Linked DNA regions of Ovis aries. The protein of the gene in region 1 interacts with the protein of each later gene in a biochemical or structural test. Links are inferred from orthologs where the notes say so. Each region holds a gene or a part of one and is shown in the gene's direction. Other genes may lie near its edges.

Region 1 (3,810 bases):
CTTTATTGTATCTCGAATGTGGTTATTACCTTGGCTCTGCCATAAAGAGGCGACAGGAAGAGAGAAGGCATGGGGCCTCCCTGACCCGCTGCGGCCTGGGAGCAAGAGTGGGGTGGCTGGTGAGACGCAGGGTGCCTGGAACCAGGCGTGCGTCCCGACCCTGGGCGGGTTGGTCCCGCATCCACGGGGAGCTCCCTTTGGGGTCCCGTCTCTGGACCCTCGAGCATCAGCTAGCTGCCCTGGCTGAGCCTCTCAATCAGCTGCCCGTGTCCATCCGCCGGTCCCCACTGTCTTTCAGGAAGACGATGCTCAATGACCTCCTGCGCTTCGACGTGAAGGACTGCTCCTGGTGCAGGTGGGAGCCCCCGGCCCAGACACGAGCGCCCCCTGGCCGGGTCCCGCGCGTGCAGGCTAGAGGTGCTTCAAGGAGCTGATGACCGCATCCAGCCCCTCTCAGTGACCCCTGGCCTTCTCTTTTCTTTCTGCTTCCTTTCTTTTCTGGTCTGAGGCTGAGATTGGATTTTCTGAATCTTGTGATTTTAGGGGATCCAGTTGTGGGTCCTTAGGTTCTGCTTCAGGAGAGCTGTTCCATCACCAGCTCCATCTCCCAGGCCAGGGGCTGCTATGGGAGCCCACTGGGGGGCCGTGGGCTGACGGGTCCTTCCAGGACTGTCTCCGCCACTAGAGGGGCCACCCAGCAGCTGCCCCCCACCCTGCCTTTCCCCAGGCCCATCCCGTTCCGGGAGGCCCCGCACAGGCAGCGGGCAGCCCGCAGGTCCCAGGCCCTCCCTGCTGTGTGGCCTTGGGCAAGACGCACGCCCTCTCTGAGCTCTGGGTGTCTGTGCCCTTCTGCTCCAGTCCAGCCCCGCTGGGGGCAGCTCCCAGCCGACGGGAGGAGAAGATGCCGGGGCTAGGAAGTGTTGGGCTTCCTCCTGAGCTGTGCCCACTGCCGGCCTCTGTAGCAGCTCTGGGCCCTGCCTTCCGCGGGGTTGGGGGGTCTCACCGCCCCGCCTTTGACAGAGGAGGATGTCTGGGCCTGAGACTCGCAGCGGCACCCTGCCCAGACCCCCAGGAGGCGCTGGGGTCAGGTCAGTTCGTTTGGTGGTTCTCTCGCGCTTGGTTGCAACCTGTGTGCGGGAGTTACGGGTGAACTGGAAAATCACTCTCGAGACTTTGAATTCATGGTTAAAAATTGCTTCAGTTAAAAGTCTGAAAAGGAGCAGCTAAGTCGCATGGACACCTGCGCTGCAGAGCACGGCCCAGCCTGGGGCTGCGGGGGGGGATGGCTCCAGAGGGGCCAGGAGGCCAGCGCGAGATCCCACTGCGGAGATCCCACTCAGCCCCGTCTGACTCTCGGCGGCCACATGGGGTGCGCGCCAGGCCTCCCTGTCCACGGTCTCCTGCTGGGGGTCTGTGCTGCGTCGCTTCAGTCGTGTTCGACTCTTTGTGACCCCGTGGACTGTAGCAACCAGGCCCCTCTGTCCGTGGGGCTCTCCAGGCAAGAAGACCGGAGCGGGCTGCCCTTTCCTCTCCCAGGGCACCTTCCCGACCCCGGGATCGAACCTGGGTCTCCTGCAGCTGGCTTGGGGGCCGCATTGCAGGCCGATACTTCACCCTGAGCCGCCAAGGAAGTCCAGTGTCTCTGGGAGTTTGCTCAGATTCGTGCTCACTGAGTTGGTCATAGAGAAATCACAGAAAATTACTCAGAGGCGTAACTGTGGGGAAGGTGGGGAGGTGTACCCTCAAGCTGTGGACAGTGGTTTCTGGCAAAGGGATTATATGTGAGGTTTTGTTTTTCCCTTAGTTGGCAGTTTTTTTAAGGCTTCTATAATGAGAAAGCAGAGAGCAGTTTGGGGGTGATGGGGCTGCCCCCCGCTTGCACCTGATGCCCCTTCCCCCCTCAGGGCCTTCACCACCGGGACCCCCCCGGCCCCCCGCTACCACCACTCCGCCGTGGTCTACGGGAGCAGCATGTTCGTCTTCGGTGAGCGCCGCCTCCCGTCGAGCCTCGGCCCCGGGCTGTGCTGGGCCAGCCTCTCTATGCCCCTTCCTCCAGCGCCTGTGCTGGGTCGGGGGCCTCTCGGGTCCCCTCCCCCAACCGTCCTGATCTCCAGGGGGCACCGTCTGCCTCTGCGCCCGGCTGCTGTCCCCAGAGCCTCGAGCAGGAGCTGATGGGCGGCAGGGGTCCTGGGAGACGTGCTGACCGAGGGCAGACCCCGCCCGTGCCCACCGCCCCCTGGGTTTGCAGACTGAGCTGACGCCCCGGGCTGTGGGGGCTTCTTGCTCTCTTTACAGGGGGCTACACTGGCGACATCTATTCCAACTCAAACTTGAAGAACAAAAACGACCTCTTTGAATACAAGTTTGCAACTGGCCAGTGGACAGAGTGGAAAATTGAAGGACGGTGAGACTGTGCTGAGACCTTTGGGGTTGTACGGGCTGTCATGCTGGGTCTCGGGGGGCGGCGGGCCTGGACTGGCTTCTGTGGGGTTACAGATGAAGGGGCCTTCCGGGACGGCCCAGGGGTTAAGACTGCCTTCCAAGGCAAGGGGTGTGGGTTCGAACCCTGGTCAGGGAGCTACGATCCCACTTGCCTCGGCCAAAGGACGAAAGCCCAAGACGGAAGCAGTGTTCCTAACCCTAACCCTAACCCTGACTCTAAAAGCTAAGAGGGGCCCGCAGCCTGAAAGTGAGGGCCCGCAACGGCCGAGCTGGGAGCCCGCAGCACCCGCCAGCTGGCCCTGTTTGCCCATCCCTGGCTCTCAGCTCCCCTGGACCCCTCCGGAGGGTAGGGAGACCCAGTGTTCTGCGGACGGCCTCCTCTGGCCCTGCTTCACAGGCGCCCCCTCGACACCAGGCAGGGGCCTGGAGGGGGCTCTGTGCCCTTGGACGTGTGACTCCTCGTCCAGTGCCCATGCGGGCTCAGACTCTGCCAGGTCCCTTATTCCCAGCAGCCCGGGTCAGCGGGTGTGGGCACGTTCGCCCCAGGGCGGTGGGGCTCACAGGGCTGGGACCCGGGCTATGTGGGGCTGTGTGGCTCAGCTCTGCCCAGGGTGCCCCCAGCCCTGCCCTCCACTTGCCCCAGGCTGCCAGTCGCCCGCTCGGCCCACGGTGCCACGGTGTATAGTGACAAGCTGTGGATCTTTGCCGGCTATGATGGCAACGCCAGGTAGGCCGTGGCCAGAGACACGCCGGGCGCAGAGCGGCCCGCCTGCCCCGGGGAGGAGGCACGAGCTGGGTTTCCCAGGAGGCTGGGTGTGTGGATGCGGCTGGGGGAAGGCCACTGAGTGGAGGCCCCCCCGCCGGACCCCCACCGGGGACAGGCGCTCTGGCACCCCTGAAGCTCCTGGGGTGACTGAAGGCATGGTGGGCCCCACACGTCTAGACTGCTGGCCAAGGACGCCCAGGACCGTAGCTGGTGTCCTCAGAGCTCAGAGCGGGGGAGGCAGGCGCCTTCCTGCTGTGGAACGTCAGCGAACGTCGACGTTGCTGTGTTCTGATTACAAAAGCACCAAGCGCTCAGTCCCCAGGACCCCAGCCAGTTCCAGAAGCCCCGAGTGCCGCAGGCTTCGTGGTGGCCCCCGGGGCCTCCGGGCAGCCCCCAGCCGAAGCCCCTACCCCAAGGCCGCTCTGTAGTCCCCAATCAGATTCCCTCCTGGGGCCGTCTGTCCCGGCCGGGCCCAGGCCCACCCTGACCTCCAGCCCAGCTGCGGGGCCCCACCCCCTCTGTCCCGATGCAGGTTGAATGACATGTGGACCATCGGCCTCCAGGACCGGGAGCTCACGTGCTGGGAGGAGGTGAGGGCCGTG
Region 2 (4,581 bases), on another chromosome or scaffold:
CAGCCACTGTTTCCACTGTTTCCCCATCTATTTCCCATGAAGTGATGGGACCAGATGCCATGATTTTCGTTTTCTGAATGTTGAGCTTTAAGCCAACTTTTTCACTTTCCACTTTCACTTTCATCAAGAGGCTTTTTAAAACTAGACAAAACAATTAACCGAGGACCTGCTGTGCACCAATGCATAGCATAGCCTCCGAAGCAGCTCAGTAGTTCCTGAGGTAGGTTATCGTTCAGCAAGGTTTCTTTCCAATTCAGTGATGCAGAGTTGCTTTTTAGAATACATCTTGTTCCTCCCATTGCTGTCCCCCAAGAAGGCTAGAAGAGGGGTGGCAGAGGATGAGATGGTTGGATGGCATCACTGACTCAATGGACATGAACTTGAGCAAACTCCAGGAGATAGTGAAGGGCAGGGGAGCCTGGTGTGCTGCAGTCCATGGGGTTGCAAAGAATTGGACAGAACTTAATGACTGAACAATAGCACAGGAAGGCTAGTATTCTTGCATCTGTCTACGGTTCAGGTATTTGAAGTGTTATTTCATTGAAAGAGTTTTGGCAGGTAGTAAACTGTTCAACTGGAACAAGTACTTGTTTAAAATTGAATTGGTTAGTGAAAGCTTTACAGGCATCAGGATACAGAATGATGTGGTTAACAGTTCTTTCTCCGGTACGGAAGTGCTGTATTTCCATAGTCTCCACAGGATGTTTTCAGATAATGACTGAGCTGAAAGTAATGTCAAATCTCTTGATTTAAGAAAATGTACAAATATATCTTTAAAAACTTATTTCAAATTTACATACATAGATACATGCACTTTTGCTCCTACAGTACGCACTTATGTCTCAGTTGTTTAATCAGTAAGATCTGAAGATGAGTATTTTGGGGCAACAAGCCATAGTCTCAAGAATAAATCATTGTATGCCGGTTAAGACCTTAGCAACTAGCCATAGTAGGTATTAAACATCTGTTTTGGCTGTGCTTAATCTTTTAAAATTACCTACAAATTCTGGAATATGAAACCAGTGTTTTGTGCCAGTGGTTTAAGGTACATACAAGGATCAGTAATGTTCTCTTCATGTCAGTATGACTTTAAAGCATTTATTATCAAGAAATAAGTAATTAAGTCTGAGAAAATATGGTAAATAACAGATTCTTTAAAATCTAATTTAAATTTTCTATTAGTAAAGATGAGAAATGAAAAAGTCATTCTGGAATAACTATTTCTTGGTGGTGTTAATTATCTTAGCCTCTGAGGTCCTGATACTGACTTCTTGGTGGCGGGTAGTATAGTTCTTTTTAATTATTGGCTTCCAACTCTCTCTCTGCATTGCTGGAAACAAAAATCATATATTCTGATATTGGTGATGGGATGTGCATACTTAAAAAGCAGACACATTCAAACTAGTTTTAGAAATAAATTACAATCAAAATTTGCTTCTGCTAAATTAGTAGAGCAACAAAACCCCGTTTTTTCCCTCCATCATAGAATATTTCAGTACTTCTACATTGACCTTATACCTTCTTTTTTAAACAGGAATGAGAGTTTTTATTCTTAAAAATATGAGCTTTACTTGGTTTGTTTTATTTGTATGTACATATATTTGAAATTTCTTGCATTAATTTTCAAATTGAAAAGAGAATCATTTGTGAAGATATCTTAAGTGTCAGCACAGGTTTTATATTTTATATGCATTACTAAAGCTCTTTTGATACCTTAATTATTTATATAATAATGAGAATAGTAATTTCTTAAAAACAGACCTTCTCCTCTTGGACAGTAGTGATAAATACAAAATATTAAAAATTTTATATATGGGTACATGTGGCTGTCTCGTTTAAAGTACCAACATATTTAATGATATCAGAAAATAGTTGGAATTTTTGTTTTGTAGTTGGCTTAGTTACCTAGTTGATTAAATTGATTTCATTAAAAGTATACAGATTTTTATATCACAAGTTGATAAAATAACTTCAGAGGTACATTTTAATATATAATTAACATTATTTAAATCCCTACTTAACTAAAACTTAATTTTATGAATTTTAAATTAAAGTTTTACTTCAAAGATAAATTACTGAGTTCCACTGAAGCAGTTCTTAATACATTCTAAAGATTTGTAAGCATTAATACTGCTATAAAAATTGAGATGCCCCTTTTCTTTTCCTTAACTGATGTAAGCAGTGGATGTGTGATGATGTATGTATGCTAAGGTTAAACTTTAGCTGTTGGTTTACTTAAGTTAATACTTAAATTGCTGATTCTCTGTGCTTGACTGAATTTAAAACTGCAAATCATATTTTTGGTACAAATTAGCTTTTTAGGTGCTGGGTCCATTTTGTCACATTTGGTTTATAGAAAGACTGGTGTTACCAATTGCAGAGACTTAAATATGCCACTTCCCATAGTGAGTAATTCTATCTTAAAATTGAAAGAACAGATTAAGTTTAAAAAAATATATACGGTAAAATAAACCACCAACATTTTAAAAGCACATCTTTCTTTTAGAAGAATGGAACATATGTCTTTTAAGTTAATTTGTACCACATGTAAATTAATGCGTGCTTAAGTCACATCAGTCATATCTGACTCTTTGAGACCCCATGGACTGTAGCCTGCCAGGGTCCTCTGTCCACGGGATTCTCCAGGCCAGAAAACTGGAGTGGGTTGCCATTCCTTCTCCAGGGGATCTTCCCAGCCCAGGGATTGAACCCGTGTCTCTTACGTCTCCTGCATTGGTAGATGGATTCTTTACCATTACCATTAGTGCCGCCTGGGAAACCCTATGTAGGTTAATGTTTGTGTTAGTATTTCTTTTTATTCTTAATATTCTTAATATTTTTGAGAATATACTTTAAAGAAAACTTTAAGATATTTTTAATATTTTAAGAAAATACTTTTAAGTATTCTTAATACTTTTAAGAAATTAATATTTCTTTTTTTAGATGTAAGCTTCTACTTTGGTGGTTACATTCTTCTGGACAAACTAACAGTACAGTTAATCTAAACATTTTGTCTTCTTGGCTACTGTCTAATTTTCTAGACTAGAAAAGACATAAAACATCTCCCTACGGGCATATATGATTGTGTTTGTTGTCGTAGCTTTCTCACCATAGCCTTAAGCAGAAGAAGTCCCCTTGGCTCCTTCGGAGTGTGTAAATTAGAAGATATAAAGCCAGGACATTGGGTATTGTTTTAAAAATTATTTTTTAAGACTTGTAGTACAGATACAAAATTATATTGCTACTATTTTGTATTTTTTAAACGATTAAAAATATTTTCATTTTATGGTAAATAGCCCTCATTTAGCATTTTTATTTAAATAGTGCAGTTCTTGATCCACAAAAGTCTCAGTCTCGGTTCCATTTGTGGGCTCTAGAAATTGACTGGACAGTTGCAATTGAAGATAGAACTTGTGATTCCAGTCTCTTGAACCAGCTATATTTTGAGGTGTTGTGTGCATGTTTGTGTGTGTGTGTTTAAACAAAGGTCTGACTATCCCTTTTGTACCATTTTTCTCCTCACTCCTGACTCAGAGCAGGGGTGGGGATCAGTGGTACAAAAATAACTTGTTTTCCCTAAGTCAGAGAAATAATTTAAATCTAACTTCAGTTTAGACTTTGATTAATTCTGTGACTAACAAACTAAAATGATTGCATTAATTGATATACAGGTACTAATAACACATGTACTTCCAAATTAAAAAAAAATTCTTATCCCATTACAAAACAAAACTTGACTTCAAAGAACAAATCACAATTTATGCCCTATTTTAATACTGAATCCCCAGTTCTATTCAAACAGTCTGATGTCTGTTTGAAAAAAGAAAATGCTCAAGTAAAGCTCAAACTTTCAAATTTCTTGCACATGGCTATCCCAATAAATTACTATTACCAATGAAACAGACTTTAAAGAAGTTGTGTTTTACAATGCAGAGAGTGGAGGATGCTTTTTATACATTGGTGAGAGAGATCCGACAATACAGATTGAAAAAAATCAGCAAAGAAGAAAAGACTCCTGGCTGTGTGAAAATTAAAAAATGCATTGTTATGTAATCTGGTAAGTTCAGCATATTAATTTTGGCAGAAAGCATATGTTTTTCATAGCTAACAAAGTAGCAACCACATGAGATCTACCTTGGTGTGGGATTCTAATTTGAAGTATTAAAAAAATAAACATGTAGTTTGCTTCCACAGTCAATACATTTTTTTTTAATCTAATGGGTATTAATTATAATTGAGGCAGATTTTGATGGCTATAGACTGTCAGGGTCTTGAGAGACAAAATATGCCGTATCATATAGCAGAGTTGAATGGCCCAGAAGGTGGGAAAGGATCACTCTTACAGAGTATGTTTTCTTTTGGACATTCCACAGGCAGGTACTTATTCTGTCTCTGCTCTCTTAATGTAGTGACATCAGCATCACTTCTTTACCCAAGTGAGAAACCTGGGAGTCTTGGGATGACTCCCTGCTTTTCATATCCAGTTGGAGGCAACCACAAATTTCTGTTATGATGTTACCCTCTAACTTCTTTTTACATTTATTTATTTTTGGCTGTGCTGGGTCTTCATTGCTGCACACA

Evidence for each region.
Region 2: the proteins of LZTR1 (region 1) and KRAS form a complex in vitro, tested with the Homo sapiens proteins (2 studies listed by BioGRID, with this or other methods). The link is inferred for Ovis aries from reciprocal best matches to the Homo sapiens genes LZTR1 and KRAS.

The regions. Positions count from the first base shown.
Region 1 is NC_056070.1:72,363,430-72,367,239, forward strand, and holds part of LZTR1 (leucine-zipper-like transcriptional regulator 1), read left to right. Parts: intron 1-298; coding exon 299-355; intron 356-361; exon of another isoform or gene 362-1,026; coding exon of another isoform or gene 1,027-1,088; intron 1,089-1,904; coding exon 1,905-1,984; intron 1,985-2,295; coding exon 2,296-2,404; intron 2,405-3,085; coding exon 3,086-3,169; intron 3,170-3,740; coding exon 3,741-3,798; intron 3,799-3,810. UniProt on the Homo sapiens protein: Substrate-specific adapter of a BCR (BTB-CUL3-RBX1) E3 ubiquitin-protein ligase complex that mediates ubiquitination of Ras (K-Ras/KRAS, N-Ras/NRAS and H-Ras/HRAS).
Region 2 is NC_056056.1:190,404,553-190,409,133, forward strand, and holds the end of KRAS (GTPase KRas), read left to right. Parts: intron 1-3,933; coding exon 3,934-4,053; 3' UTR 4,054-4,057; downstream 4,058-4,581. UniProt on the Homo sapiens protein: Ras proteins bind GDP/GTP and possess intrinsic GTPase activity. Plays an important role in the regulation of cell proliferation.